Linked DNA regions of Coturnix japonica. The protein of the gene in region 2 purifies or fractionates together with the protein of the main gene of each other region. This does not show direct contact. Links are inferred from orthologs where the notes say so. Each region holds a gene or a part of one and is shown on either strand. Other genes may lie near its edges.

The links.
Region 1: the proteins of TOP2A (region 2) and PARP1 purify together in Homo sapiens (co-immunoprecipitation; 3 studies listed by BioGRID and IntAct, with this or other methods). This does not show direct contact. The link is inferred for Coturnix japonica from reciprocal best matches to the Homo sapiens genes TOP2A and PARP1.
Region 3: the proteins of TOP2A (region 2) and E3 SUMO-protein ligase ZNF451-like purify together in Homo sapiens (affinity purification with mass spectrometry; 3 studies listed by BioGRID and IntAct, with this or other methods). This does not show direct contact. The link is inferred for Coturnix japonica from reciprocal best matches to the Homo sapiens genes TOP2A and ZNF451.
Region 4: the proteins of TOP2A (region 2) and TOP1 purify together in Homo sapiens (co-immunoprecipitation; 4 studies listed by BioGRID and IntAct, with this or other methods). This does not show direct contact. The link is inferred for Coturnix japonica from reciprocal best matches to the Homo sapiens genes TOP2A and TOP1.
Region 5: the proteins of TOP2A (region 2) and SRPK1 fractionate together in Homo sapiens (co-fractionation; 3 studies listed by BioGRID and IntAct, with this or other methods). This does not show direct contact. The link is inferred for Coturnix japonica from reciprocal best matches to the Homo sapiens genes TOP2A and SRPK1.
Region 6: the proteins of TOP2A (region 2) and CTCF purify together in Homo sapiens (affinity purification with mass spectrometry; 3 studies listed by BioGRID and IntAct, with this or other methods). This does not show direct contact. The link is inferred for Coturnix japonica from reciprocal best matches to the Homo sapiens genes TOP2A and CTCF.

Annotation. Positions count from the first base shown.
Region 1 is NC_029518.1:14,814,097-14,819,359, forward strand, and holds the start of PARP1 (poly [ADP-ribose] polymerase 1), read left to right. Parts: upstream 1-2,149; 5' UTR 2,150-2,232; coding exon 2,233-2,352; intron 2,353-3,045; coding exon 3,046-3,208; intron 3,209-3,527; coding exon 3,528-3,646; intron 3,647-4,683; coding exon 4,684-4,898; intron 4,899-5,263. UniProt on the Homo sapiens protein: Poly-ADP-ribosyltransferase that mediates poly-ADP-ribosylation of proteins and plays a key role in DNA repair.
Region 2 is NC_029542.1:4,100,297-4,104,964, forward strand, and holds part of TOP2A (DNA topoisomerase 2-alpha), read right to left. Parts: coding exon 4,550-4,668; intron 4,304-4,549; coding exon 4,206-4,303; intron 4,028-4,205; coding exon 3,815-4,027; intron 3,618-3,814; coding exon 3,444-3,617; intron 3,336-3,443; coding exon 3,234-3,335; intron 2,855-3,233; coding exon 2,717-2,854; intron 2,565-2,716; coding exon 2,426-2,564; intron 2,197-2,425; coding exon 2,039-2,196; intron 1,653-2,038; coding exon 1,527-1,652; intron 1,300-1,526; coding exon 1,189-1,299; intron 1,102-1,188; coding exon 996-1,101; intron 604-995; coding exon 494-603; intron 75-493; coding exon 1-74. UniProt on the Homo sapiens protein: Key decatenating enzyme that alters DNA topology by binding to two double-stranded DNA molecules, generating a double-stranded break in one of the strands, passing the intact strand through the broken strand, and religating the broken strand.
Region 3 is NC_029518.1:79,212,919-79,217,586, forward strand, and holds part of E3 SUMO-protein ligase ZNF451-like, read right to left. Parts: intron 3,332-4,668; coding exon 3,197-3,331; intron 2,507-3,196; coding exon 2,376-2,506; intron 1,484-2,375; coding exon 1,297-1,483; intron 1-1,296. UniProt on the Homo sapiens protein: E3 SUMO-protein ligase; has a preference for SUMO2 and SUMO3 and facilitates UBE2I/UBC9-mediated sumoylation of target proteins. Plays a role in protein SUMO2 modification in response to stress caused by DNA damage and by proteasome inhibitors (in vitro).
Region 4 is NC_029535.1:4,132,811-4,138,204, forward strand, and holds the start of TOP1 (DNA topoisomerase 1), read left to right. Parts: upstream 1-2,020; 5' UTR 2,021-2,209; coding exon 2,210-2,242; intron 2,243-2,716; coding exon 2,717-2,741; intron 2,742-5,394. UniProt on the Homo sapiens protein: Releases the supercoiling and torsional tension of DNA introduced during the DNA replication and transcription by transiently cleaving and rejoining one strand of the DNA duplex.
Region 5 is NC_029541.1:489,007-493,674, reverse strand, and holds part of SRPK1 (SRSF protein kinase 1), read left to right. Parts: intron 1-3,548; coding exon 3,549-3,667; intron 3,668-4,520; coding exon 4,521-4,629; intron 4,630-4,668. UniProt on the Homo sapiens protein: Serine/arginine-rich protein-specific kinase which specifically phosphorylates its substrates at serine residues located in regions rich in arginine/serine dipeptides, known as RS domains and is involved in the phosphorylation of SR splicing factors and the regulation of splicing.
Region 6 is NC_029526.1:1,444,450-1,449,117, forward strand, and holds part of CTCF (transcriptional repressor CTCF), read right to left. Parts: intron 3,956-4,668; coding exon 3,807-3,955; intron 1,676-3,806; coding exon 1,514-1,675; intron 1,103-1,513; coding exon 920-1,102; intron 510-919; coding exon 374-509; intron 1-373.

The DNA.
Region 1 (5,263 bases), on a different chromosome or scaffold from region 2:
GGTTTGTGAATACACCACTTGCCCAGACAGGTTTGTGTCTGAAGGCAACTGGAAATGAGGTAGGGCCTGTAAGGGGGGCAATGAGGATGTGGCTGCCAGTGTAACAGGAACTGTCCTCGCCAAGGGCCAAGTGTGGTGAGTTATGGGGTATCCTCCACTACCACTGCTCATTAGTTGCATTTAATGAATTTGTGGGATTTGCCACATAATGGGTGCTCAAGAGCCAGAAAGCAAATCCTGCTGCACACCTGGGCAGAGCTGCAGAGCATCTGAACAAATGCAAGCCCGGGCTTTGCCTGATAAAAAGAGGTGGTGGAATAAAGTCATAGAACCATTAAAATTGGAAAAGACTGCTAGTATTATGGCATGCAACCATCACCACCTGGTGAAAGAAGGTGCTTGGGAACTTGTGAGAACACAAGCTTCTGGACAGCATCCACATAAAAAAGCAGGCAGACCAGGATGGAGACTTCCATAGTTTTGCCCAAGGCCGACCAAATGGATACAGCTGACCCAGATTTGGAGGCCTACGTTCTGCTTTTTGCTTGGAGGTGGTTTTCCTGCTCATGTCAGCAGGCAGCAGAAATCAAGAAAGGGCCACAGGTGCCCACTTGGCCAGCACTCATCCATCTCCATCAGCATGCTGAGCATCTCAAAGGAAGGCCCCACAGTAAGACTTACAATGTCTTCCCTCTATTATGTCTCCTTATGATCATCATTTATTATGTATGAGTTTAACCTTCAAAGTCCAATGTGTTGTGTCCCTTTTAATGTTTGCAATTAGGAGAACTCTAAATAATTTTTCAGCATTGCTTTGCTCCAACACCTGCCTCTGGCGGTATGGTTTAATTAACCTGCCAGAAGAACAAATTTCCTCTTACCCTTTGTTTAATTTCTCACTCTCTAATTTCATCAAATAGTCATTTGTGTCTCAGTTGCCACATGGGGACTGTAAAGCAAGGATGATAGCACAGTATTTCCACCTGTGGGTAATGTCAGTGCAAACATTCTGATAATAACTGCGGCAAGTACCATGGCTGTGCTGGGCTCTATGGTATCAACTTTAGACTATGATCTTCCCTAGATGTACAAGCCACACCCCTATTATGTTGCCATGTAATTACTGAGATGAGGCTGCTTGGTGGAGTTCTCAGTCGGTTTGAAATCCTGCTTCTCCTCTACCAACCGCTCATTCCTCGCCTCTTCCCACATCCATTTTCCCATGCATCTGGAATGCTAAAAAAACAGAAGCTTATTTAAAGAAGCTTTCTAAAAAAGGGGGGAAACCATCAGAGCTGCTTCCCAGGGAGTTCTGTGCTGGATTGTAATGTAAAACTGCTCAGGACTGCTGAGGAGGAATCATAGAGCTATTAAGGTTAGAGAATAGCATTAAGTACATCACATCCAACCATCAGTGTGTCAGCTCCATGCCCGCTAACCACATCTCAGTGCCAGGCAGCTCTAGGCACCAAAACCCCACAGGAGCCATGGTAGGAGATACATTCTGTCCCAGAGAGTAGGATAATCCCTTTCATTTATACTGTGATACTATGAGATGCTGTGACACTCACAGAATCACAGAATGACCCGGGTTGGAAGAGACCTCAAGGATCATGTAGTTCCATTGCCTGGCAGGGCCACCAAACCTTTAATGTGGGCTGTATGGCTTTGCGTCCCATTCCCATTGGGGCGGTCTGGCTGATGTCAAGGGGTTGATCGCTGGCACAAAGAGGGAAGGCACAGCTGAGCCATAGCCACTTGTTGCACCTATACAGCTGCCTCAATGCAAGCAAGGTCATACAGCCATAGTGACTGTGTGCAGCACCGTGCAATAAGCAACATATCCATATGGACAGGATAAGTATCCATATAAATATCCATATAGATATCCATATAGATATCCATATAGATATCCATATAAATATCCATATGGGCAGGGTAACACGGCCCGCAGTGCCCCCACTCGTGCTGTGCTGCTGGCGCCCCCTGCTGCTGTAAGGCGGTATCACACCGAGCGGACATGAGCGCACAAGGCCCCGGCCCATTGATACCCCGCACCGCACCGGAAGGTTCCATGCGCCGCCAGACATGCCGAGTCGCTGCCCGAGCGGTGGATGGCGACCAAGCTGCGGGGCGGGCAGTGCGCTCGGCGCTCGGCTATTGCTGCCTGCGGTGGGCGCGCGTCGCGGCTCGGTTCGGCGGGGCCGCGTTGTGGTGTCGGTGGTGGTGGCGATGGCGGAGCCGGGGGACAAGCCGTACCGCGCCGAGTACGCCAAGAGCGGGCGGGCGGCCTGCAAGAAGTGCGGGGACAGCATCGCCAAGGACTCGCTGCGCCTGGCCCTCATGGTGCAGGTACGGCCGCACCGGGGCTCGGCTGCAGTGCCGGGGGCCTCGCGGTTGCCGCCCCCGGGCGCAGAGCGGCGGGTCGGGGCTCGGCCTCACGGTGCTGCGGAGCGCTCGGATCCGAACCGGGGGCGGCGGGGGGCGGCGGTACCGCGGGGCGACCGGTGGAGCCGATGGAGCCGAGCTGAGCTGCACGTGGCCACGTTTCATCCGCCTTTTGTCTGCGGGATGCGGCGCCGCGTTCCGCCGCACGAACGATGCTGAGCGGCTGTGGGCAGGGCCGCATCCAACCCAGCCGGCAGCTCCTCCTGGCCCATCTATGTATGGCCCGGGGCGCACGGAGCGGCCGGCTGTGTTACCGCAGGGCGGGCCTGTGCCCGCAGCACGCGGTGTTAGTAACGCCGCCGTTGTTTGGTGCCAAACCGCCGGGCCGTGCCCTTTGCTGGGTGCCGCAGCGCTGCCAGGCTGTGACCTGGCGGCTCCAAGTCAGCCCAGCACAGCTCTCAGCGGGCGAGGTGCTGCGGAGCTGCAGGGTTGGGCTGTGGTGCCGCCCTGCTGCAGGCTGGGATGTTCCCCTGCCATCGTGGGGACTCTGACACGATGGTGGCCCTTATGGGGCAAGGCCGGTGTTTACCCAAATACCCCCCACCCCGCTCGCTTGGATCTTAGCTGCTGCACCTCAGCCTCGTGTGCTTTTCCTAGTCGCCCATGTTTGATGGCAAAGTCCCTCACTGGCATCACTACAGCTGCTTCTGGAAACGGGCACGGATCGTGTCCCACGCGGATATTGATGGCTTCCCTGAGCTCCGCTGGGAGGACCAGGAGAAAATCAAGAAGGCCATTGAAACCGGAGGCCCTGGAGGAGGTAAGCAGAGCTCTGCTGGTGTTCAAAGCTGGAACCGTGCTCTGTCATCTCAGGCTGTTGTTACAGTTACTTGATGGCCATGTCCCTGCAGCAGGTTGATGTCAGCCTGAGGAAGTGTATTAATAATTTTAAAATTTAAAAAAATAGGAAATGGAAGCTGTCACTTTGAAAGAGGACTTAAATTTTGAGAGGGGTTCTGTTTTGAAGCAGAACACAGAGGTTTATTAATCCAGATTGCTAATAATCTGTAACAGATGGGGAGAAACAAACAAGGAGGGAGGGTGCCTTTTAAAGCTCTGTATTTACCTTTGATCTGCAGGAAAAGGAGGGGACCAGGAAGGAGGTGGCAAAGCGGACAAGAGCCTAACTGACTTTGCTGCAGAGTATGCCAAGTCTAACAGGAGCACTTGCAAAGGCTGCGAGCAGAAAATAGAAAAGGTAAAAAGCTTTTCTTTAGTTCTCCATCTCACCTGTTTTCCCACTGATCCCAGTTCAAACAGAAGCTTCTGCTACTGCATCCTGTATGTCCTGCACTTGGAGGGCAGTTGCAGAGCTGATTTTCTGTGCCTGAGGAACGGCTGCGTCTTGGAATACTGACATAAAGACATGTGCCTCAGGCACTGGAGCCCGGACTTCTGATCTGCTGATGCTTCCTTTTGCATGAGCATTACGGCAGACTGAAATGCTGCTTGCCAGTAGATTTGGTTGGAATAAAAGAGAGAGCCACCACTAACTGCCTTCTGCTTGTTCATGCACTGCAGAGATGTTAGCTGCTTCTTCTCCTTTGTTTCTGTGCAGTGTATAAATCAGACAAAAACAGCAGTACGTCTAATTAATGATGCTGCCCCATATTTCAGCCTGTCTTGTTGCCCTACTTTTAAAGACAATCAGCAAAGTGAAGCCGTGAGCCTCTGATAGGTGAGAATAGAGCTGCCAGTTCTGTGCAGTTGGTGAGGGATGTGTGACGGCGCTGGTACACTTGTGTTTCCAGAAGTGTTAGTGGCTGGGGTGTAGGAAGCATTGCAGTCTAGAAGCACTTAAGCCAAGTACTTCCTTGGGTATCTGAAAAGTAATTTCCAGAGGATGAGATTGTAGTAAAGATTGACTGATAAGGACATAAAGTCAGCTTTCAGAATCCCCTCCATGGGGCTTGGTGATGTGATCTCTGCTTATCTTTGCTTATTCAAGTTAACTGGCAGGGAGTTGAAGTTAAGACTACAGAATTATCTGTTTTAAGTGTTCTTTTTCAACAGAAAGTTACTTAACAGGCACTTTTTCCAGCCTAGGACAAGGTATTAGTGAAAGCATTGGAGCTGTAAGGAAAAGGCTTGGACAGTTGTTTCAGGCTTTGGTGGAGGGGCTATTGGCGTTTAGCAGGTGTGCAGGAAGCATCATGTTGATAACGAGCTTACTAACATCCTGCTTCTCCCAGGACAGCCTAACAATTGCTGTTGTGTCTTTTTAACCTGCCCCAGGGCCAGATTCGGATTTCCAAGAAGATGGTGCATCCTGAAAAACCACAGCTGGGGATGATTGATAACTGGTACCACCCGGACTGCTTCGTGAGCCGCCGGGCAGAGCTGGGCTTCCTCCCTGCATATGGGGCCACCCAGCTCCTGGGCTTCAGCATCTTGAAAGCTGAAGATAAAGAAACTCTGAAGAAGCAACTACCGGCTACTAAGACTGAAGGGTATGTGGGGAATGCGGCAAATCGTGTGATTTCGAGGAACAGTTACTTGCCCTCATATACATTTGTGATGAAAGGGTCGTGGATTTGTTATCTTAGTCTCAAAAGAATAGTGCTTGTAGGAGGATGTGGTCCTCTGGTGCCATTAAGGCTGGTAACAGTGAGCTGATTCCCCATCCCTGGGAGGCTGCAGTCCACTTATTCATGTGCCTGTTGAGGAAAGGCTGAGGCTGGCAGCTCTGACTTTGAGGGCTGCTGGGTTTTCAGCCATAAGTGTTGTGTATGCGATGCAAACAGATACGGGCTCTATGCTCCTTGTGTGGTGCTGTTGTCAGCCTTGGTTTCCTTGACCTAACCACTTATTACAG
Region 2 (4,668 bases):
TTCCGCTGTCTTCTATCCTCCATGAAATTAGTCAGCCATTCCTTTCGTTCTTCTACCTTCTTCTTACTAAAGGCCTGTGTTGCAAATTAAGAAATAATTCAAGTTCTGGGACATTCTGTGTGCCCTACTGGAACACTGGTGAACCATTTCAGGAGAAAAAATTTTAGAGGAGAAAGGAGAGGTTTAGCTCAGAGGAAACTGCAGGTAAACACACAGAATAATGCTGAAGGAATATTTACTATTGTGTCTGAAAATGTCAATTGGTTTGTAGTGGTTATAGTTTGTTCTGAGCTATATTTAAAAGCCATCATTGAAAGGGTGCTCCTGGCCTGAGGTCTGTGGACAGATTTGCTTCTACTGGTTGAACTGAGGCTGTAGCCTTGGTAACAAAGAGACCATCTCAGGCCCAAAGGCCTCTGAGAGCATTTTAAGAGAAAATACGCAGCAAAATACTCAAGGTAGTAAATCAGCAATTAAGTCAAGTGTAAGTTACCAGGGTGATGGCAGCATCATCTTCTGGACCAGAGTACTTGAAGCCAATTCGATGTCTAGCCATATCTGCAAAGTATTCCTTTGCCTCCTTCGATGTGCTGGTACCCAAACCTGCAGAACCAACAACTAGTCAGCCCTAATTTCTTGCTTCAATTAAGTTGCACTTCAAAGGAAGGCATTACTATATCCAATTTCCGTAATACATCACATAAATGCACAGCATGAAGATGGTTCTATTAAAACCTTTGCTGGGATGTAAGGTATCACAGAAGTAGTGGGGATTGAAGACAACTGGGCAGTTGCACTTTTAGTCTGGATTCCTCACCACCCGGCTGTTGTTATGCAGCTGGCAGCTCCCTTACCAGCATGCAGCCATTCAGAGCAGTTTAGGAGGGAAGTGAATTTTGGAGGCCACCTGCTCCAAACCCCCTTTTTTCTGCAGAAGCTGGACTAACTAAGTTTAATAACAAACTTGCCTTCACCATATCAGGTTTCCTACAAACCTTTGTAGTACTTGATTTTCCATGTGTTGTAGTTTTGTGTGCTGTTTTTCCATTCTTCAAACTCAGGAATGCTGTAGAATGCAATTTCTTCTTTGTTTTTAGAGACCTAAAGAGAATGAAGATGTTAATTGTGAAAGCAGATGTGGTCCAACATGATCCTATTCCCTCACCTTCCAACCTCCTCAGCCCTTACCTTTATGATGGGGGTAATAAATTCCTCCAAGAAGTTGTGTCTTAGAAGAGAAGGCCAGTTGTGATGGATGAAGTTAATCAGCAAACCTTTGATATGAGATCCATCTTGATCCTGTTTGGTGGTTTTATTTTGGAGAGAAGTACAAGTTTAACCAGAGCCCTGATGGCCGTGCCAGTTGTTAGTTCAATAATGAGGATACACACAAACCCAGCTACTGAGAACTATTAACTTTCAGTTCCAAAGAAGCAGCCACGCTTTGAGTACTGAAAGTTAACAGAAGGAAGAGACACATTTGTGGTGAACAAATTTCTCCAGTTTTGAATTTCAGTGAGCCTAACCTGATCTGTCATAATCATGATCTTCCCATAGCGAAGAGTCTTTAAAGATTCTCGATCCTCGTAATTCTTCTTATACTGTAAACCCACAATTTTGATGATGTTGTTGATTTCAGCATTTTCCATTATCTGGAAAAGATCACAAGGAATAAAAACTTTTCTACCAGACTCAAAACAGCAAAGACACCCATCGGCTGTACACCCCTAACCGTGCTCTGCCTTCCCAGAGTTTCCTCTGTTTAGAGCATCTCATTAATTCCAACCCAGTGTCTAATCTTTAAATTTCTCAGGGCTATTTCAAACATTTCCTAGAACATTTCCTAGCCCACAGCACAAATGCAAAGCACTGCCCGGGATTTGCTTAGTATTCCTGCTTAATCAGAAAGGCAATCTGAACGTGAGACCAGACCCACACCTTTGAGTTACAGCATCAAAAGCCCTCAGCTGTACCCACACTGCATGACATGAAGCACACCACAGCTCCCAGCACAGGCTATTAAGGTCTCCCCACTAACCTGTTTATGAGAAGCTTCCCTGACGTTGAGCATTTTCCCACGAAGGGGAAATACTCCATATTTGTCTCTACCAACCACTCCTAAACCAGAGACAGCCAGCGTTTTGGCTGAGTCTCCCTCGGTCAGGATGAGTGTACAATCTATTGAATTCTTGCTGCCTGAAAAACAAAAAGCAAAAACCCAAGTCTTCCAATTAAGAAGTGAAGTCAAGGCTAATATAGCACAGGCTGCAGGAGACACCATAAAATATACAGGTCTGGCTGCACTGCACAAACTGCAATGCAAAACGAGCACAAGCTGGCGTTTTCTTTAGATGATTGTTTCATTTGCCTGGTGAGCAAATGTTATCTCTGAAGAAACTGGCTACAAAGGATGTGAAATACTTACCAGCATCATTGGCATCATCCAGTTTAGGAACGCCCTTAATCTTGGTGTGCTTCACAGCTGAACATTTCTTATTCAGCTGGGTCTGAGCTTTAAATTTTACCCAGTTTAGGATACTTTCAACAATGCCACAGCCAACTGCCTGCAATGCCAACAAAATTACAGAACAAAATCAACAGTGGGAAAAGCTTTAAGTTATGTTTTCCTTTAATTCATGACTTTGTAAGCCATGTATTTGCCATGTTAGTTGCAGCTTTACAGACGTGCTGATTATCCACACACACCAATACTTACACCCTTGATAAATTTCTCACTCAGCTTGCACGTCGAGCCAAAGCTCTTGGCCTGCAGAGTCATATTCTCTTTAGTCTGAGAGTCAAAGGTTGGGTTTTCAATCAAGCAATTCACAAAAATCCACATGTGATTCTTCACCTGCAGGCAAACAAGACGAGCATTACAAACTGCACAGGCTCCACTCCCTGGAACAGCAGTGTTTTCTTCCTGAGAATCACCTGTCAGCATCATGCAGCGAGGAAAACAAGTTCAATTATTGCTGCGTGGTTTTTGAACTTTCCTAGATGTCTTTTGGCAGAATTTAGGACAGCTAATGAGTGTTCACAAAGTTACATGATTTGGGGTGCCAAGACATCAGCAGCCCTCCCACTAAAGAAAACCTAACAGCTACTGAGCTGTAATGCTTCCTTACTGACCCAGAGCACTCTGATTGCTGCAGCTAAACAAAGGGAATATGGCTTGGTGGCTTAAACTGGAATATATGGGGCTTCTTTAGTTGGGAATTCTGACATCGCACCTGAAACGGTTTCACTCCAACTCCATTTTTGTTCTTCTTTTTCACAACATCAATGAGTTTAGTCACAATCTGGTCAGCTACGTAATCAACGTGCCTGCCACCCTGGGGGAAAACGGGACCAAAGAACCTGAGGTGACTCCACTGAACCAAAACACAGAGCCAACAACAAAGAATATGAAGTGAATGTGAGCACGGGAGCAAAAGAATCACCTTTGTGGTGGCAATGCTGTTGACAAAGCTAACTTGCTGGAATCCTTTTTCACTTAAAGTCAAGCACACTTCCCACCTGGAATTCACTTCCTCATGAATAACCTTAAGTGCATTTCCAGTCTCATCCACTTTGTCCTTCAGATAGAGGTCCACGTAACTGCGGAATCCTTTCACCTACAAATGAAACCAGACAACTCATCTGTAACAGCTCCTATAAATACTTAATGCACATCCCCCTGCAAAGCCAGGAGGAAAAATTGCTTGGCAAGCTTTCATTTTATTATGTGCAATGGCATAAACTGCTTCAACAAAACTTCACTGGTAAATGTCATAAGAAACACAGATGTTCCCCCATTTAAATGCTCACTTACAGGCAACTTCTTCCCATTCAACATAACTTTGACTCCTTTGCATGACCCAGCCAAATCATATGCTCTTCTTGTCATCAGGGACACGATGTCCTTGTCAAGAATCGACATTTTGAACTTTGACAGATCAGGTTGGAAGGTGACACACGTGTAATCCTCCCCATCAAAATGCTTCAGTGTCATTTCACCGGCCTTCCCCATGTTGTCTGTCCAGGTCTGAGGAGATGAGTTGTTGTCAGTTGTGAGTGTAACAAACACAAGAAAGCAGCACAGTATCTAACAGGTACCAGGTTAATTCTAGTCACAGCAATGACACCTAGATTCACATAGGAAAAACTCAAGTCATATTTGCAAATCTCAGGTGTGACCTCACTGAAATGGGCAGTGTTCATACCTGCTTGAACAGCTTTTTGTATTCACGACACGCAGTCTCCACGGTAAATTTGGTGCTGAATATGTTGCACAGTTTGGCTCCATAACCATTTCGCCCACCTGGATTCAGGAAGAAAACATGTCTGAGTTGTTACCTTTGCTCAAAACCACCAGAGAGAACTCCAGACCAACAAGAGCTCATTCATTTCAGCACCAAGTATGACTAACAATAAACTGTCCCACAAACCCTGCAGCCACTATAAAGCTGCATTTAATTAACACCAGTTACTCATATAGGTACTTCAGTTCCCAGATCACACAGTCAGGCTGCCCAGGTACATCTGCACGCTCTGCAGTGTTCCCTACCTGTGACTTTCTTCTCATCATCATCGTAGTTGCTGGATGTCAGCAGCTGCCCAAAGATTAAAGCAGGAACATACACTTTTTCTACTTTGTGTTCAACAACTGGGATACCCTTCCCATTG
Region 3 (4,668 bases), on a different chromosome or scaffold from region 2:
TTGATACCACTGGAAAGCAAACAAACCTTGTTTATATTTCCTCATATTCAGCTGCGTTTCTGCAACAGGACAACAGGTTAGACCAGCCCACTATACAAAGGCACAACTTTCCACCTCAGCCCTCTGATACTGGTCTTGCTACATACAAGAAGACTTGCAAATGCCTGCTGATGCTTCTGACCCATGCAGTGAAGCACGTATTCTGAGGTGGCTGCATCTTCTAAACTTTTCATAGATTCTTGGCCATGACACCAACTCACTGCCCTGACTACACAGTCCTGTTATCAAAACTGAGTTCTCCAACGTCCTGTTTTAATACAGGAACAGAGAAAACAGGCAATTTTTACTGCCTGGGTTCCACCCCATTGACACTGACAGCACAAGGGACCTGGGAATGGCTCAAGACAATTCTGTTCACTGTGGGTTTGCACAGGAACATGACGCATAAGATTCCAGCAACTTCTTGCTTATAATTGCTGGGATCTTTTGGTAACAAGCACACATACAACATTAGTGACATGCACAATGACCATGCAGTCAGTAAGTTCAAGCCTGGGGCCTCTCAACAGTCCCCAACACCATAATATTTATGTTAGATATTAACACAGTGGAGCACATGAAAAGAACACCTGAAGGAAAATTATAAATAGGAAAATTCAGTTCTTTTATGAAACCTTCAAGATGTTTTAAAATATTAGGAAGTATTTAAACACATCTCAGCCTCAGCATCCTTTGGATGAAAATAAGGTTGTTCAAAACTCTGATTATTCTATATAAAAACAGCGTAATCACTTAAGCATGGCATTAATTAGAGTATTAAAGGCCTTCATGGGTATTTTTCCTCCAAACAGGGGTGTGAGCCACGAGCCAGTGAAGACAAATAACAAGTGACTGGAGGTCAGCGCTTGGATGCAGGACAATCAGAGTTAAAACAGGCAGAGATTTTGGGAAATAGCAATGGCTTGAGCAGGGTCACAGCTGTCTCAGAGCACAAACCAAGCAAAGCAGATTTCAGTAGAAATCAATAAGTAAGCACATCACAGAGCTCTAAACAGCTCCTCTTCAGACAAAAAGGAGGTTTCAGACAGAAATAACTCTTTGTTTCAGATTTTGTTAGACAGAACAAAAATGGGAAGTTAAGTTTGGTTTCAAAATTCGTACCAAGCAAATCAATCTTCTGAGCTGCATTTCACTGCAACACAATACAAGAAGCACCAAGCAACAACTTGTTTTCATCAGCACAAGAGCTCAGTTATTTTATTGACACCTAGATTTCATTTGATGTTGACTTTCTACCTTTTGTGGTATCTGAAATGCTGTTTAGCAAGGCACACATCATGTCTCCTTCGATGTGATGGGGATTTAGAATGCGAACTGACCGCTGAGTCATCTTAAATTGAGCTTCCAGCTCCAGGAAGCTTTTGTCTCCAGAAAGTACAGTGAAAGGAATTTGCTTGGGCAGACGCTCATCCAGCCGACCAGCCTGCAAGGAAACAAACAACAGATGTTAAGACTGCACTTTTATCTAGTGGGCATTAGTTAGCTTTGTGTAATAACTTTTTGTAGGAAAATCTACAGCAACTTACTTCCACTTTTATTATATATGGAATTTATACTACCATGAAAGTTATTTTTTACTCAAAGGATGGTGAGGCACTAGAACAAGCTGTCTGATAAAACTTTAAACACTGCACTGGGGAGTCCTCACGATACCCCAGCTTCCTGCCCCTCATCTACACATCTCCCAACCCAAAGCCCTAGGTCTACTCAACATGGGCACTGCTCTTTGTCAGCTCAGCAGGGTCTCTGAAGCTGGCACCCACCCATGGCCATCTAGCTCCAGATTCAGGGTTTTTACTTCATTCTGAAACAGAAACTGTAACATCTGTTTTTTAAGCTCTTTTTTCTTCTTTCTTTTTTTTTTTTAATTCTTCACTTCCTAACCAGCTCCCACCTTTTCACAACAGACTGATGTCTTATATGTCTTACTTGGAATTACATCTGTATTCCTAAAGAAAGAAAATGTAGAGCATAGGGCAGGGTGATGTTGACAGCTATATTTACTATATTTACCGATGTAATTTATGTTGTGTGGTCTTCATGCAATCCATAATTCAATTCATAATTCCAATTCATATGGCAAGAGTAAAATGTATGACATTCAGGGTTACCCAAAGGTGTGAGGGGGTTCCTTCAGAATCGCTTCTCAACACACTGTCTCCACTCAGTTCAGCAATGGTTCTATAATCCTTTTTAGTGGACACAGAAGTTGTGTGAATCTCACAGCTAATAAGTACTTAATGTCAATGGCATACAACACCTGCCACCCTTCTCTCACACTAAAACAACAATAAAGACGGCACACACTAACTTACATGAACACAGAGTGCAAAGTCTGCTGCTTCTCTTCTGGTCCCACAACGCGGATGAAGGAAGAAACATCCGATCTTGTTGAGATAATTATAAATTTTGCACTGCACTGGAGGTTTCCAGTTACTGTATCCTCCTAAGCAATCAATCAAACAAAGAAACAAACAAAAAAGGATAGCAGTGTCACCATATATTAAGAATGCAAGGCAAAAGTAAAAGGTAAAACTGGCTTTAAAGACAAAATTTATTTTGTCAAATGTGACAGCTGGAAAAACTGCATTACCAAAAGCCCCAAAGCCCCTGTTGGGTTAGAAAGCCAAAAACGAAAAAGGAGTTAGCCTGATTCACTAGTGGAGGTGGACTACAAAATGAGTGACAGAAAACTGAATGTCTGAGAACAGAAACAACGTAGAACCTGGTCAATACAATGGGGGGAACTGAAAGGAAAGCTAGGATTGCATTAAAAAAAAAAACAAAAAACCACAAAAACACGAATAACAGACATAACTCAAGACGTATCGTTAAAAAACAACAGTCAGTTGTGCTGTTTGGAAAGCGCAGAAAAACATGAGACTGGGATATCATTGTATTTAAACGAACAGGAATTGTGTGCATTCGATAACTCCACAAACTACTGTTCTGGTCCCCATGAACCTTAGTACTCCTAAGCTTTGCAAAAATCCTTGTGACACTAATGAAAGACTAACATGTTCCTCAATACAAATTGAGACCAATTTAATGGCTAATCACTTTTAATTCTCTCAAGGAATCTCTGCTCAAACATGTATGTAAACTCACTCCTATGTTCTTCCTTTGATCACTTTACCTTGAAATCCCCAGATGAATGTTCCTTGGTTCAGGTTAGCTGGCAGCTGTGTGAAAAAGCTTCCCCAGTTGTCCAGATCCACCAACACAATGTGAGTCATGGTACTCAAGTAGTCGAGATCTGGAAGTTCACTATCTTCAATGAGATAAATAGGAACACTTTAAGTTTATTCAACTTTCCGGTCAACAAACATAAATCAATTCAGACACGTTTCTGAAACAATTAATGTATTAACCCACTATGTAAGCTAAAAGTCATAAAACATTATCCTATTTAGTGGCTGCATAGTTTCAGCACTGTTTTTAAATCAACTGAAGTATCATTTAGTAATAAATAGATTAGATAAAAGTAATAATTAAATTAGATAACTGACATAACTGACAGTAGAATCTAGCAGTATGATGACGTAAAACTGGATAGTTGACACAGAGAGCTACTTAACTGAGACACTGACATGTTCATTAGTATACTTAACATTTAGCTATGCTCTTCCTACTGTGGCAAATTTACAATAATATATTGCTTAAAACCATAATAGCTCATAAAATGTTTAGAAACATACTTTTTGCTGTATATTAATCAAAAGCATTATGACACTGTGGGAAATTAAAAATACTCCCAATTTTTGTACACCAAAGATACACCTTTGGCATTCCTGACGTCACTCTCAGAAGTGACACAAATTAAAAAAAATTTAAGCATGGACACTTCAGGCAAAGCCACTCACAGAATCACAGGAGTTGGAAGGGACCTCTAGAGATCATGGAGTCCAACCCCCCTGCCAAAGCAGGTTCCCTACACCACGTCGCACAGGTAGGCGTCCAGGCGGGTCTTGAATATCTCCAGAGAAGGAGACTCCACCACCTCCCTGGGCAGCCTGTTCCAGTGCTCCGTCACCCTCACCATAAAGAAGTTCTTGCGCACATTCATGCGGAACTTCCTATGCTCCAGTTTCTGCCCATTTGCCCTTGTCCTGTCTCCACACACTGCTGAAAAGAGTCTGGCCTCCCAAGTCTGCCCCCCACACCTCAGATATTTATAGACCTGGATCAGGTCCTCTCTCAGTCTTCTTTTCTCATGGCTAAACAGACCCAGTTCACTTAGCCTTTCTTCATAGGGGAGATGCTCCAGGCACTTCACCATCTTAGTGGCCCTCCGCTGGATTCTTTCCAAGAGATCCCTGTCTATTTTGTACTGGGAAGCCCAGAACTGGACACAATATTCCAGACAAGGCCTTAACAGGGCAGAGTAGAGGGGGAGGATCACCTCCCTTGACCTGCTGGCCACACTCTTTTTAATGCACCCCAGAATGCCATTGGCTTTTTTGGCTACAAGGGCACACTGCTGGCTCATGGTGAACTCATACTGTGAACAGAAATTCTCAGCTGAGATTATTTTTTTGCAAGCTAGGCACAAGTGAAAAGGCGCTGTAATAACAGGACTGCCTACACAGAAAGCACCTCCAGCCTCAC
Region 4 (5,394 bases), on a different chromosome or scaffold from region 2:
TCTCCACTCAGAGCCTCCCAGCACCAAGAGGTGCAAGTAGCCTAGCAAAGATTCATGGTTATGCCTGCTAAAGACTCCAGGAACAGCCAACCCTGCAGGAGAGCAGAGACCACAGCCTTTACTGAGACATGAACTAGAAACTGGGCAGCTTCTTTTGCGTCCAGAGTTCATCTGGCTGGCTGTCAGCAGAGTCCTGCAGAGCACAGTACTGAGCCTCTTGTGCCAGTTTGGATGCTCCCTTTTGCACCCAGAAGCGTGCCTGCAAAAGCCCCTGAAGATGGCAGCTGCTACAAGGCAGAGTGATCCTTTCCTCTGATCACAGCCCGCTGCAGCACGGTGGGTGTTGCAGCAGCTCTTTTTCATGCAAGGCCACCTGAGCAAGGTTTCTTGGAACCCTGGAGATATTTAAGCTTTAATGCAACACTGTTGTTTCTTATGGCTATTAGGAATTTCTAATGCCTAAAGTGAGATGTGTGAGGCTGTGCTCAGGCTGTCACACATCACAAGATACAGCCCCTACACCTCTGTGTGGCAGCGAGGATAGGCTCAAACCTTTGGCTGTTCTGAGAGCAAAGCCTGCCATCATCTTGTTCCTGTGAGCAAAGGGCAAACACCTCTTCCAACAGGAGAGGTGTCTGAAAAACAGCCTTTCCATTGTGTTTATATTTAAAAACCTAACAGTGACTTAAGCAGTTTGCATAATAAACACGTCTAAATCAAGAAATATTTGCCTGCTCTCGGTGAAAAAGGAAGTCCTCAGATCCTCTTCTGAAGACTGTAAGAAAGTGACAGAGCTTTCCCTTTACAGGGTATAAATACGCAGTGCAAATAGGTGGCTGCTGTCTCTGCTTACATGTTGATGCGTCTCTTCAGATAGCCTGGCAGCGCTGGATTATTTTAGCGTCAAATCAAAGCTCAGGATGTGTAAAGAAGCTGAGGAAAGGTACAGTGTGTGTTGCAGCACAGGATGGCAGCTGCAAGAAGCCTGGAAGCAATCCTGTGAGACACATACCAGCCACGCATACTAAACCTGCCATTTAGTACATCGAAAAGGATCTCGGTTCAGCAGGGCTGCTGCAGAACAGAAGCAAATGCCTTCAGATTGAGGTCGAGGCAGGGGATTGTTCTCTTAGGAAGGTACATGATTCATCCTCATGTTAGCTGAGAGAAGATACAGCTTTTGTTTCCTATTTACTCTCAGTTTCCTTGTGAGAGAAAAATAAAAGGCCCGTTTACGCTGGAAGAAGAATCACGCTGGCTGATGTTCCTCTTTAAAGCAGGAAGCTCTCATTTGCAATGCAGCATCGCTGTCCTTGACTGTAATGTCAGCCCAGATCCGTCTGATCTGCATCCCCCCCTCAGCACCAGCTGTGTGTGGATGCAGGGCATGTGTACAGCACTGAGCACAATGTAATCTCTGCAGGGTTACTGCAGCCTCTGCATTCCAGCCCCACACAACCCAGCACTTGCTGTGCCCCTGCTCCATAGCTCATAGCTCATGTTCAGGCTGGACAAGCCCTGCTAGGCCACGCAATGTACAGCAGGAGCTTCCCGTGGTGCCATGAGGACACCCCGCCTGGGCGCCGCCATGTTCCCCTGACAGCCCGGGGGCGTGGCCTAATGGATGGGGGCGGTGCTTAACATGCAAATTAACCCTGCCGCCGGGTGTGGTTAGGCGCATGCGCACTCCGCTCACAGTAGGGGACGGCTTCTTACACAATGCGCCGGGCTCGTTGCGAGGCGGGGAGGGGAGCGGAGGGGCGGGGCTAAGTATGCAAATAAAGAGCAAGGTCGTGTTGCGCGATTGGAGGATAGGGTGGAAGGGGCGGGGCTACGTGTGTTTTACGAGCGCGCGGGCGGGAGCGAGCCAATCGGCTGCCTTCGGAGGAGTGGACGGGTGGGGGCGTGGCTAATATGCAAATATTCTAACGGATGGGCGGGGCCTATTATGCAAATAACCCAACTGCCGTTTCCCGTCGGCCGTCCCTCACAGCGCCCGGCTCCGCCCCGCGGGTAAAAGGCTTCGCGCTTGCGCAGTGCGCCGAAACCAGGACTTAGTGTCTGTTACACAACCGCTGAGGAGCCAGGGGCTGCGCTCTGCGTCGCTTCCCCGCTCCGCGCGTCCCCGGCGGCTTCAGCTCAGTTCTGCTCCTCTCCGCTTCGCTCTCCTCCCGCTTCGCTCCGCTCGGCATCTCCCGCAGCCTCCGGTATGAGCGGGGACCAGCTGCACAACGACTCCCAGGTGAGTCCCGGGGGAGTCCGGCTCATGGCCCTCGGTTCCCATCGCGGTGGGGCCCTGAGGAGGCGCTTCCCCTTCGCTCCGGCCGTGTGGGGCCCGTACCCGGCTGTGTGTGATCCCCGTCGGACCCGCTGGGACTCGCTGTCCCGGTCGGTGCCGCTCGGCTGGGGGCTGAGATCCCTCAGGAGGGGGGGCTGGTGTTACCGGTTCTTTCTGCTTTCCCCCCTTTAACCCCCCTTCCCGGCTGTATGTTGCCCTCAACACCCCGCTCCCACCCCCCCATCCCCGGGGCCGCGTTCCGCATCGTGCCGCTGTCTCCTCGTTTGGTATTTAATTTTCATGGGGGGGGGGGGGTGTTAAATAGAAGGGGGGATCCATACCCGCCGTCCCTCCCCCCGAATTCATCGCTAAACACACGCGGCCCCCCCTCCCTGTTCGGCTTTTCTCACGTCCTCTCCCTGTCTCCTCTCCCCGCAGATCGAGGCGGATTTCCGAGCCAACGGTGAGTGGGCCCCGACGCGCCCCGCGCCGCGCAGACATGGCGTCCCAGAGACTAAGTCCCGGCTCCGCGCTCACCGGCCCCATTGTTCCCATCGAGCCGCCCCCCGCGCCCCCTTCCCACCCTCCCCGAACCCCCCCGACCGCCTCTTGCTTTAGAGGGGGCATGGGAGGCCCCCGATCCGTCCCCATCGGTCCCTTTTGGGTTTCCTTTAGGCCCCGATTCCTCGCTGGAAAGTCGCCGTGTCGGCGGTCGGGACTTAGTCTCTGCGCCATTTTCTTTTTCTCCTCTCTGTGGCTTTCTCTCCTCCTCCTCCTCCCCGAGCTGCCGCCGCGCAGCCTTCCGCGGTAAGGGGGGGTTGGCGGGTGGCGGTCCCCGTCCCCATTCCTCTATTAACCGAGGGGAAAGCGAAGTTTTTAGCTAAAATAAAGCCCAGGGCCGTTTTTATCGCAGCCTGCCCCCCCCTCACCCCCTCCCTTCCTCCACGCTTCTCTGTTCCTTTCAGGGAATCCCTCCCTTCCCCTAAAATGAAAGGTGATTGCAACATGTTGCTCTTTTTTCAAAAGAATCTGCCGCATCCATTTTAAGATCCTTCCTAGTTTTTCGCCTCCCCGTTTAATTGATGGAAGTTCACCTTCTTGGGTGGGGCTTTTTTAATTAAAATTAGAATCCCACGTTAGGGGAAAAACGGGACGACCAATAGAAGACAACACAGGCTGTGTAGGCAATTCGAGAAAGGTAGGCAGCATTGCTTCTAAAAGTTTGCAGCTGGAACTGTGCATTTCGTTTAGAAACACTGTAGGAATCCTGATTTTTTTATATATATATTAATATATAGCTCTTGTTTATGTTCATATATAAAAATCCCTTAGCGAGCCTGATAAGAACTGCTGTTTTGCTGGTTTATTTGGTGTTTATTTAGGATGCTAAACCCCCTCCCTGTGCTGTTAGGGGACAAATCAAAGGGTTTAAGCCAGGTGTCACCTAACTGTGTGTTACCGTCCCACTGTTGGGGGTGGTTGAGCAGCCCCCCATCCTGGAGAGGCAGAGGACAAACAAAAGTCAATTGAAGATATCTTTGTTTTACTCGGTGCTTTCTTATAGTGATTTCTGGGCAATGCCCACGTGCCCTGATAGCTCTGAAAGCTGCTATCTGTAAATATTTACAACTCTACCTTAGCGTGCAGCTTTCTTCCTGTCCATGCGTTGGATTGTGGTTGTGTGTGTGAAGGATTTAAACAGTTTTGAACTTTAAGTGGTGATCACAGAGCTCTGTGATTTTTTTTTTAGCAGAGGAAAAAGGCAAAGTGGGTTTTTCAAGAGCTGCAGTAGGAACTGAAGCAACTTCAACACCAGCGTGTATTTGAATACTTGTAGCATTCTTGTGCTGGGAAATATTTGCCTAAGGATCGTGTCTATTTAGGGGAAAGAGCTCCCTGGAAAGCTCAGTGATGTGCTGCTTTACGCAGGGGAAGTGATGCACATTGACCCTTTCCAATGAAGCTCTTTGGGGTATTTTCTCCTCCATTCTGACCACGTACCCTTTTATTCTCACAGTGTTCTTTGTCATTTTGTGGCTGATTAGAAGCCCCTACAGTCCCAAATCCCCTTCAGTGCTGGGAGGTGCATGTAACGCTGTTAGTGTTGGTAGGGGAACAACACTGATTAGACACTGTCCTCTCTCACCTTGCGGCCAGGGCTGACCTTCCTGAAAACCCATCACCTCTGCTCTCTTAAGGCTCCTGTGTTGGGTCTGAGAATAGCAGGTCTGGTTTGGGCACAGCGCTGGGGCTGTAGCTTTTATATTCTTGTTCTGATCCTATCTAGTGGCAAACAACAGAAGTGGGTGGTGGGAATCTCAAGTGCATTTCCCAGGTGTTTAGAATTGGTTTGTACTTTAGTTATTGTCAGACAGCTCTTAGCAGCAGAGTCTAAGTCTCATTTTAGGCTGCCTTGTGCCTCTTATGTTTAGGGAGAAGGGAGGTTTTTCTGAGGGCTGACTGATTCTGAATGTTGAATGTAAGCATTGATCTGAAAGCACTAAACATTTTGGTTAACAAGGACTGTTTTGGGTGAGTTCTGATTAGTGTATCAGTAACAGGGCAACTTAGGCACTTCAGAGCTTCCTGTTGTTACAAATGTCTCGTATTTAGGTCAGTGCCCATGCTGCTGTGATGGCACAAATTGTTGCAGCTGAAGGAGGGCGGGTGGAGGTGATGTGCTGGCTGATTGCAGGTCTCAGGAGGGTGCTGGCTGCAGTGAAGGGCTTGCATTGTGTTGCATACCAGTTTCATTGACAGGAGGGTGGTATTAGGGATGAGAGAGGATGTTACTTGTAAATATGTGTTCTTGGCTATTTCTTAGCATTGAATAGCCAGATCGCTTTGGCTACTCCAAGCAAGAGTGTCCTGGGCAAGTTCCAACCTGGGTAATTACATTCCATCCCAATATCCAGATTCTCCCTCCTGTTTAATTTGGCCACAGAGGGTATTTTTTTTTCACCTTAACCGTATTTTCAGTGGTGGAACAATCTGCAAAGAATTTTCCGTGTTCAGTCTAAGGGCGGCTGTTTGCAAACCATTCTGTGCTGAAGCAATGAGCTTATTTTGCAAGTAACATCCTACAGTCTGAAGCTTGAATAGAAGGGATACAGTAG
Region 5 (4,668 bases), on a different chromosome or scaffold from region 2:
CTGAGTGGTCTGTACTGCTCCCCATGGTTGCGGTCCCCTGCTTGTCTCCCTGTTGTTGTTGGCTCTGCCTCAGAGCAGATCTGTAAGAGCACACATTATGCGATCAGGGCTGCTTTGTGGTTTTTGACCTCATATTTTAAGTGTAGCCCAGGCTCTGTGGGAGGCCGACTAGTGAAAGCAAGGTGTGTTTTCTCAGCTCTTTGAAAACTTTGTGAGAAACAAGTGACCAAACTCTGAGTTCTTCCAAATTAGTACTGCTGTCCCTGCAGTGCGTTGTGTCGTTGTGTGAGCTTGTAGAGTGCAAACTTGCCCGGTGTGCTGCTGGCTGAATGGAGCTCTTCTGAGTCTTGGTTTAGAAGCACAGAGCTGGCTTCAGAATGCCGCTCATAAGAACCATCTTGTAGCAGAGCTCTGCATCCTTGCTGCTAATGTCACACTGCTGAACTCTCCCGTATCACACAAACAAGCAGGATAATCAGGCACAGGAAATGTCTGTTAATACCCTTATGTTGTTGGAAAACTGTGAAGCGGTTCCTATGAAGAATGCTCAATTTTCTGCGCTTTTTTTGTTTGTTTTTTGAAGATCTGGTGAAGATTTGTCTCCTCTCCCACTTCTTTGTACCTTTCGAGAGTAAAGGGTATGTTTTTCTTGTAGCTCTGCGGAGCGAGATTTGGAATTACTTCAGAAAATGCCTTTTTCACTTTGAACGCCCTTGCTATGCTGTATCAAAAGGGTTGTGCTGTCGGCAGCCACCCCACCTCGCTGTCTGTCCCTGCTTTGAATCCAGGGGTATTAAATAGGCAAATAAAACCGGCTGGTGCAGGAAGATGAAGCATCTGCCTAAATTCCTAATTTCATTTGAGGGAAGATGGAGACAGGTAAACATCAAGAGGAGGAGATGAGTCTCTCTGAGCTCAGCCAACCCCCGACATGATTGAATTTGCAGATCAGCTGGGAGCAGCCCCTGGTCTCGCTGCAAGGCCATTCACCTGCAATGCAGTGCTGTGCATCTGCAGCTAGGTGGTGGAGGCTGATCCCTCTCCTCCCTCCTGCACAAAGCTCGGCGGCGCTCGGGAGGAACCCCTCGGCCATCCATGTCCTCCCCTTCCTCAGCAGTGCCATCCCATTTTTAATGGCTTTTTTGAAAACTGCTGGGCTGTCTTCAGGGATATCTGTGTCAATGGGAGGCCGTGCTTCCTGCAGGTGGGTTACCCTCATTTATTTCTGTCTCAGGAACTGCAGTTCTTTGGGCTTTTCTGGGAGGATGAGGACTTTTTGGGGGGGGAGGGGATGGTCTCTGGAGATGGGTTGAGTTCCATAGAAGCTATCATTCTGCCTTAGCATTCCTATCTTCATCAAAATACCACTTTGTAGTTGTATAGTTAATTCTGGTGATTAATTAATACACTGGGGGAATGAAAGTAAAAGGTGATGGAGGTGTTTTCAGGGAGAAAAAGTGCCTTAAAATGTTTGGTTTTCTTTTTCTTGGAGGGTATGCTATTAACCATCTTTCTGTCCCTAAAGGGTTTTAAGGTATTTATCTGTATCTTGTAATACTGCTGACAGCAGTTTCAGCTGTCATCTTTAAATCCAGGGTATGGATTTTCCTGCTGTCCTTAGCAGCCTTTTGTGTCTAGCAAAGCCCTACCTGTGCATGCAGGTGAGGGCTGTGATTTTGTGGATTTTTTTTTCTTTGGCATTAATATATATCTACACTGAGGAAGGCTCCTTTAATCCATATCTGCAGTTGATGTGGTCATGCGAGGGGCGGGTGGTGGTAAGATGTAGTGATGTCTGATGGATGTTTGCCGCAAGGCAAGGAATGAGGTATGTTTTGGAGGGGATTCCTTAAAGGAGGTAGCACTGTCGATATGCATGTGAGCAGGGCTCTGTACCACGTTATGGTGTAAAGGGTTGTAATATATGAGAAAAATGCTTCATAGGAATTTGTTCTGGATCCCCAGGACAGGCTGAGCTGTGGTCTACCATTCTCAGTCCCTCCAGGATGAGTGCAGAAAGCTGAGCAAATGGGTGCAGTGCTTCCAGTAACTTCTGCTCTGGTGCATGAAATCCCTGTCATTGAAAAGCTTTGGGACTGCAGAGCAGCACAGTGTTACGTCTGCATCAGTGATTCTGAATCTTTTGAACCCATTCCTGTTTGCAAGACCTTGCAGCCATAAAGTGAAAGTCCTCAAACAGCAGAATTACTCTGCATTACTTACGCTGTGGGTGTGGCTGCTGGGCTTCAGTCCCCCTTCCTGGCCAGTTCCTTGTTCTGGTTCTCTTTTCCCTGTTTGTAGGATTCTGTGCATGTTGGCATCCAGTCTCCCCTTCATGCCTTTGCTACCTGCTGTGATTCTGGGGCAGCCAGCGGCTGTTTGCAGCTCTTTTGTTCCTGGAGAAATGCAGCACTTTTCAAGAAGATTTTTGTCCTCCAAGATGTTTTTTTCTTTTCTTTTTGTCTTGTAGCTCTATGGCTTACTGCTAAAGCAATCCAGGTATGAAACATCCTGTGGCTGGATCAAGCTATGGGGCAGCTGATAAATGACTCAGCCTGAGAGCAGTGGGATGGTGGTCGGTCTGTCCGGCCAGCAGTCCTGGTGTAAGGCTCAGAACCTCTCATAGGGTGCCTGTATCGTCAGGCAGGTTGGACTCAGTGATCTCTTGATGTCCAGTCCAGCACCTCCAATTCTGACCCACTGCCTGCTTTCTTTCCTGAATCTCGCACTTAGCAGGTCTTGGGTACTCAGTGCATTGTGGGGCAGTGTGGTTTTATCTGGGACCGCCTTGTGGCTCCTCTGTGATTTAATAAACTTCAGTTCCTACTAGAAATGGTTACATGTTCACTCATGGTTCTATTGGAAAGCGTGGGGCTTTTTTTCCTTCTTTCTGCTCTGTAGGTATTGAAGATAACTGCTGTTTTAATGTATAGAAACAGATGGTACTTGATGTATGAAATCACAGCAGGGTGCTTTTAGTAGGCAAATGCTGAACGTGTAGCTGCTAAAAAGTTGTGTTCATTTCTGTCATTAGTTGATACAACCGATATGACCTGACTCCAACTCAGGAGCTGCAGAACCTGCATCCCAAAGCCCACGTGCATCCCCAGTACCTGCTGGGGTAAACTGCAGCTGTCTCAGAATTTAATCCTCCCTTGAACAGAATGAGTTGGATTTGAAATAGGGTTGTGTATACCTGCTACTTTGCTGGAAAAATAGCCTCAGTACAGGAAACTTCTGCTGATTCACACTGATGGAGGCTGGGGCTATGTAGAGGCAGCAGGATTGCTAAGTGCTGAGCTTTTGTCTGTCTGACCTTTTTTTTCTTATACTGTAAAAGTGAATCTGGAGCCTTAAGGTGTCATTCTTTCTTGCTAGCATATGAAAAACTGTTTCTCCTTCAGCAGTAAAAGCATGTAAAAATGAAAACTGTTTTTTTTTCTGGAGGCCAAGGAGTACGACTTCTTCATTATTTACCACCTCTTACATAAGAAGCGAGGTACCGAGTTATGTGTAACATGTGACACACAGGCCGTGTCCTCTTTCAGAGCCGACCCTCAGCACCGTGGCCCTGCTGCTCACTCTGAAAATGATCTTCCAGAGCAAGAAGAAGAAATTCTGGGCTCAGATGATGACGAACAAGAGGACCCAAATGATTACTGTAAAGGTATGAACTTGCCTGTTTAAGGTGTGGCATTTCTAATGTAAGAATTTCCTTTGTTTTCCCATCTGTTGCGGACAGTTAAAATTAGACCATCTCTTTGATTATATTAAGCAGTTTTTGAAATTGGATGAATAGAATCATGTTTCTCAAACTAACCTGAAACAGAAACTGTTCTTCAAGATTGCTTTTGTTGTCAAGGTTTGGTTGGGTTCTTAATGTATGTCGGCTTCTCATCTGTGTCAGAGGGCTTTTCCAAATCAGTAGAAGTAGACATCCAGTTCTTTTTCATTAGAAAAAAATGATATTTTGAGCTAAATTTGAACTTTCATAAACTGCATTTTTCGAAGGTTGGTAGCCTCGTGAAACTCAGAATCGTTCTTTGAGGAAAGTGTTTTGTGCTGCTGCCATGATGAGCTGCACTAAAAATGAGAGGTTGGTCAGGTTGCTCTGCCCAGAGCAGTGGTTTTGCCCTGTTGCTGGAGATTCCCAGGGTCAGGGCTGGAGGGGCTCTGAGCAGCTGATGGAGCTGTGGGCCTCCCTCTTCGATGTGGGGAGTGGGATCAGATGGCCTTTAGCAGTCCTTTGTAGCCCAAACATTTCTATGTCTGGTCCTCCTAGTTTGATTATGTTAAGATATTTTTCAGTCCAACTCTAGGGCTCAGCACTGCTCTGCCTCTTACATTCACACTTACATTCACACACAACCCAATTATATAAACATTTGTATTTCTGTATATGATTATAGATTTTTAAACACATGAAGTACGTATACCTCGAGTTTGATGCTTGTTCCACATACCTGTCCTTCAGCACTTGTGTGATCCCATGTCATACCAACTTCCCACTGTTCTCCCAGGGGGTTATCACCTTGTGAAAATTGGAGATCTCTTTAATGGGCGCTACCATGTGATTCGGAAGCTTGGATGGGGCCACTTCTCCACTGTCTGGCTGGCGTGGGACATCCAGTAAGTGTTCCTTCACAGGAGTTCTTCAGCCTTTATTGG
Region 6 (4,668 bases), on a different chromosome or scaffold from region 2:
TTCCTGCAGCAGAGAAGTAGGAGCACAGGACATTTCACAGCAGAGAAACACGCCGCTTCTTTTGGGACACTGCAAACACACACAGAAGCAGGAAGAACAGGGGCTGTGCAGCCAAGGCAAGGGGCAACAGAAGTAGGTTTTTCTGTTCCTTCCCAGCTACTCAGCCTTTAGAAGAGGACAGGATGGCAGAATCTGTGCTATCCCCTACAGGGAGTCATCTCTGCACTTGAACATATACTATTACTTTTGTTCTTTACTTACTAACCATATAAACAGCTTTCAGTTACCAGAATTAACCAACAAAATGGCAAACCAACAACTAGTAGTGAATCCCACATCTGTAGCTCTCAGCACGTACTGCTCTGTTCCTTACCACTATCAGAGGAATCTTCTTTCTTAGAGCGCATCTTCCTCTTTCGGCCACGTTTGCCCTTCTTTGTCTCTCCTCCATTCTCTCCTTCCCCACCATCTAAGCCAGAACAGTTATCAGCATGTCTGGCCATCGTGTTCTACTCCATGGAAGAAGAGAAAGCAAAAGAAAACAAAGCATGCATTGAAATCAAGATCAAGCACTGTAGCCCCATGTTTTTAAACATATTTTTAATAACTTAGTAGTTGTGGGGTTTTTTTGTGTGTGTGTGTGGGTTTTTTTTCTTAACTTTTATGAATGAAGTTGAACTTTCACACTGATTTTGATCCCAGTGCTAAACAATGACAGTATTCGTTCTGAAATACATCAGGCGTCCACTCAGAAAGAAGCAAGTGCTCTATTTAAAATGTCAGTACAGTCCCTGTACCTCAAGCACCCTTCCCTGTGGGGAAGCATGTCATCCTTCATGTTCCACCCCCTCCCTCCCCACCAGCTTTCATTCCACTCCAAAACAGAACAACCTTAATTCAGAACAGTGCATTCCCTTACCCTGCGAGTGAATGTTTTACCACACTTGGAACAGACAAAGGCAGCAGGGACAAAGTTGGGATCGTGGTATCGTTTGAAGTGCATATCAAGGAGCTGTTTCTGACGGAAGGTTTTATCACAATGGCTACAGGCATAAGGCTTTTCTCCAGTATGGGTCCGTTTATGCATGACCATGTGCCGCTCCTGAGGGACAAGAAAGACATAAAAAGTAACCTGAGAACTCATGCAGACACAGAAGAGCTCATTTTTGGCCAAGAAGAGCCCAAAACTTTGGGTTAAGAGCGCTATCAGAAAAAGATTCTTCAGGAATCAGGAATCTTAACTGACAGCACATTCAATCCTAGCTATTCCCATTCCAAACGGACTCCCACCAGCTCTTTATCAACAGATACATCAGCGTTGTGCCTTACCCCCTTTAGAAGGGGCTCCCTATAGGTGAGCACCACACCAAGAGACTGAACTTTCCTTCACCCCCTCCCTTCAGAAAGGGAGAGCCAATTTGATGTTGACAGCCAGACCAACTTCGCAGCTAAGATTCCTCCCCTCATGTTTTGTGAGCTGAAGCTCACAAGGGGTGCCAGCAGCACAACTTACCTGTCTGCATGCATAATCACACTGGTCACACTTGAAGCGCTTCTCGTTCTTGTGAGACTTTTGATGCTGTATGAGGGCATAGCGCTCATGAAATACAGCATCACAGTAGCGACACTTCTTGCCCTGTTCAATGTAGGAATGCTGCTTTCGCAAATGAACACCTAGGAGCAAAAAGAATCAGAAGCTTTCATCACCATGGATTTCCAAGCACAGAAAGGTTTAGCCTGCAGTCCCTTAGCACTAATCCCCCTTCCACATACTCTTGGGTTCAAGTCAGGAGAGTGAACCATTAATTCAGAATTGTACTAAAGAATTAAAACTCACAAATAAAAGCAGCCAGAACAATTTATAGACAGAAAGGTCATGTTTAGTCACAAGATTCTAGACTTAGTAGTTGGTAGCAACCTGTTGGTACAGCATGCTTCCAAGAGATAAAGGGTTTGATGTTGTATCACATCATTTAACAAATAATATGCAAAAAGGCAGCTCCTTAAATGGATATTTCAAACAGTGTATGCTAGCCTCAGAACAGAGCAGACAACAGGGATACAACATAGGGGTGGTCAGCAGGGATAGGGAGGTGATCGTCCCTCTCTACTCTGCTCATGTGAGGCCCCATCTGGAGTACTGTGTCCAGGTGTGGAGCCCTCAGTACAAAAAAGAACAAAGATGATCAGGGCGGCTGGAGCACCTCCCCTATGAGGACAGGCTGAGGGAGTTGGGTTTGTTCAGCCTGGAGAAGAGAAGGTTGCGGGGTGACCTCATTGCAGCCTTTCAGTACCTGAAGGGAACTTATCCCAGGAGGGGAGTAAACTTTCGAAAGGGCTGATATAGCAGGACTAGGGAAATGGTTTTAAGTTGAAGGAGGGAAGATTTAGGTTGATGTTAGGGGAAAGTTTCTTTACTAGAAGGGTGGTTAGTCCTGGAACAGGGCTGCCCAGTGAGGTTGTGGATGCCCCGTCCTTGGAAGGTGTTCAAGACCAGGTTGGACGGGGCCTGGGCAACCTGATCTAGTAAAGGCGTATGTTGGGGTGGCCCTACTAGGCAGGGGTTGAACTACATGATCCTGAGGTCCCTTCAACCCGGGTCATTCTGTCATTCTGACTCTGTGACACCAGGTCTGCTTCTGTCAGCATACATCCACAAGGACTCTCTTGGAGGACAGTACAATGTGATTTTTTGCTAGCAATGCTTATGCAACACACAAAGATTATAGAATTAAAACAGTTCATAAGCCACTTAAGAATCCTCTACTGTGAATTGCCCGAATTCAGCCAGAAGCCAGGTAATAACATTCAGAAACAGGATTTTCTGCAGGATTAGAAGTCGGAGTGACAGGGCTGGAAGGCAATCGGGATACCAGCAGATAATCCCCAACAGAGGTTTTAGTGGTTTCTTCAAAACACTCAAACTGAGAGCATAGCACAAAGCAGCCTGTTGTAGACTAAAAGGTTATCAGAAGAAGAATTCTTCATAGCTAACATCAAAGTTTTTCCCCTCTGTTGTAATCGGTCCGAGCTGCTCTGGTAGACACCCTGACATCAGTTGGCTGCCCCCTCATTGTAGCACTCCACATTCATTTTTAATTGGAAGACAGCCTGCCTTTCCATTACGTGGTTGTATATTTTGCTTACAGACTGAAAGTTCTGCCAAATGGTGCTTCTTCCTTCTCAGCTGCTCTGGGCTGACATTATTTTTCACCTTCTTGTACATCAGAGAGCTTGCCTGCTGGAATCACTGGGTACTGCTCACTAGATAAAACACTTTCTTTACTGCAAGGACTCAGGTTTTTGTGGCAATTCTGTCTCTCCTATTTCTGTCTGTAGCACACAGCTCCACTTCCTGGAAAATGAAAGTATTTGTTCACATTCAAGCCCGTTAGCTGGGTGAAGATGCATGTGGATAAACATAACAGCCTCCCAATACACAGGAGGTCAAGTCAATTGACCTTTAGTTTCTCAGACCTAATCCACATGCTAGCCTGAGTAAATGCCTTGTGTCTAAGAGGTGTTTTCAGTTCCCACCTATGGGCCTGAAAATAGTAACTTGCCTTGTATGCTTGGAACACATCCTACACTTTCAAATAATTAAAAGAAACAGAACAATCTCAGTCTGCAGCAATTATGGGAAGCTAAGCACATATTACAAGCCCCACGTCTAAGCCTGTGCTTCATTTTCTAGTTACCAGAACAGTTAGGTTAAAAAGCAGACAGCAGTTGGTCAAATGAACTCTATTCAGGGAAAAGGCTTCCATGGCACTCCCAATAAATGAGCACATTTCTGAGCTACGTACCAAGTCGCTCTTTCTCGCTATAACAGTATCACAGTGAGGACAGTGAAATTTGGCCACGTTCTCTGTGTGCTTCTGCAGAATGTGCATCTTCATGGTACCACTTTGAGTGAAGCGAGCATGGCAGATGTAACATTCATATGGCTTCTCTCCTACAGAAGCAGAAGGAAAAGAAATAGCACAAGTACTTTCAGTGAAAGAAAATCTAACCAAGAAGCCCCGAGCTCTCAGTAACTTGCAACAGACAGAAGGTAGAAATAGTAACTCAGTCTCTTTCTCTAGAACTTTTTGTTCTTGTGTGCATCTTCTACAAGAAACTCAAGTCTACTCTTCAAGCACAGCAGTTAAATTAATATCCTTACTGGGAGGAACTGCAGGGAGGACCTACTGCAGGCTGCCAGAAGACAGCAAGCAGAGGCAGATTTTCTGGGGGGCTTCTGAACACTCAATTTACAGGTGAGGTTTTCCCCCCGGTTCAATTTTAGCCATATAATCAACCCAGCATTTCAGCAAACACTCTGTGCTAAACACAGCTGCTATTTCCATCAAAGAAAAAATTGAGGGTCTTTATGCCCTACACGCATGAGATGCTTTTGCAGCTATGCTCAGCACGAGACTGAAAATGGCTCATCTTCAACTGGAGCACTAATAAGGGAAGACATTTCTCCTCAGCTCACTACAATTGGCTGTATTTTATTACCTCACAGTGAAATTGGAATCCTCCAAGCTCACTTCTCAGGGTAGCAATTCCCGATGGCTTAGTATTTACTGGTGCTGTATAAAATTATGGTGTATCACAGAATCACAGAATTACCTGGGTTGGAAGGGATCATGTAGTTCCAACCTCAAGCTGAGAACTTGAGGC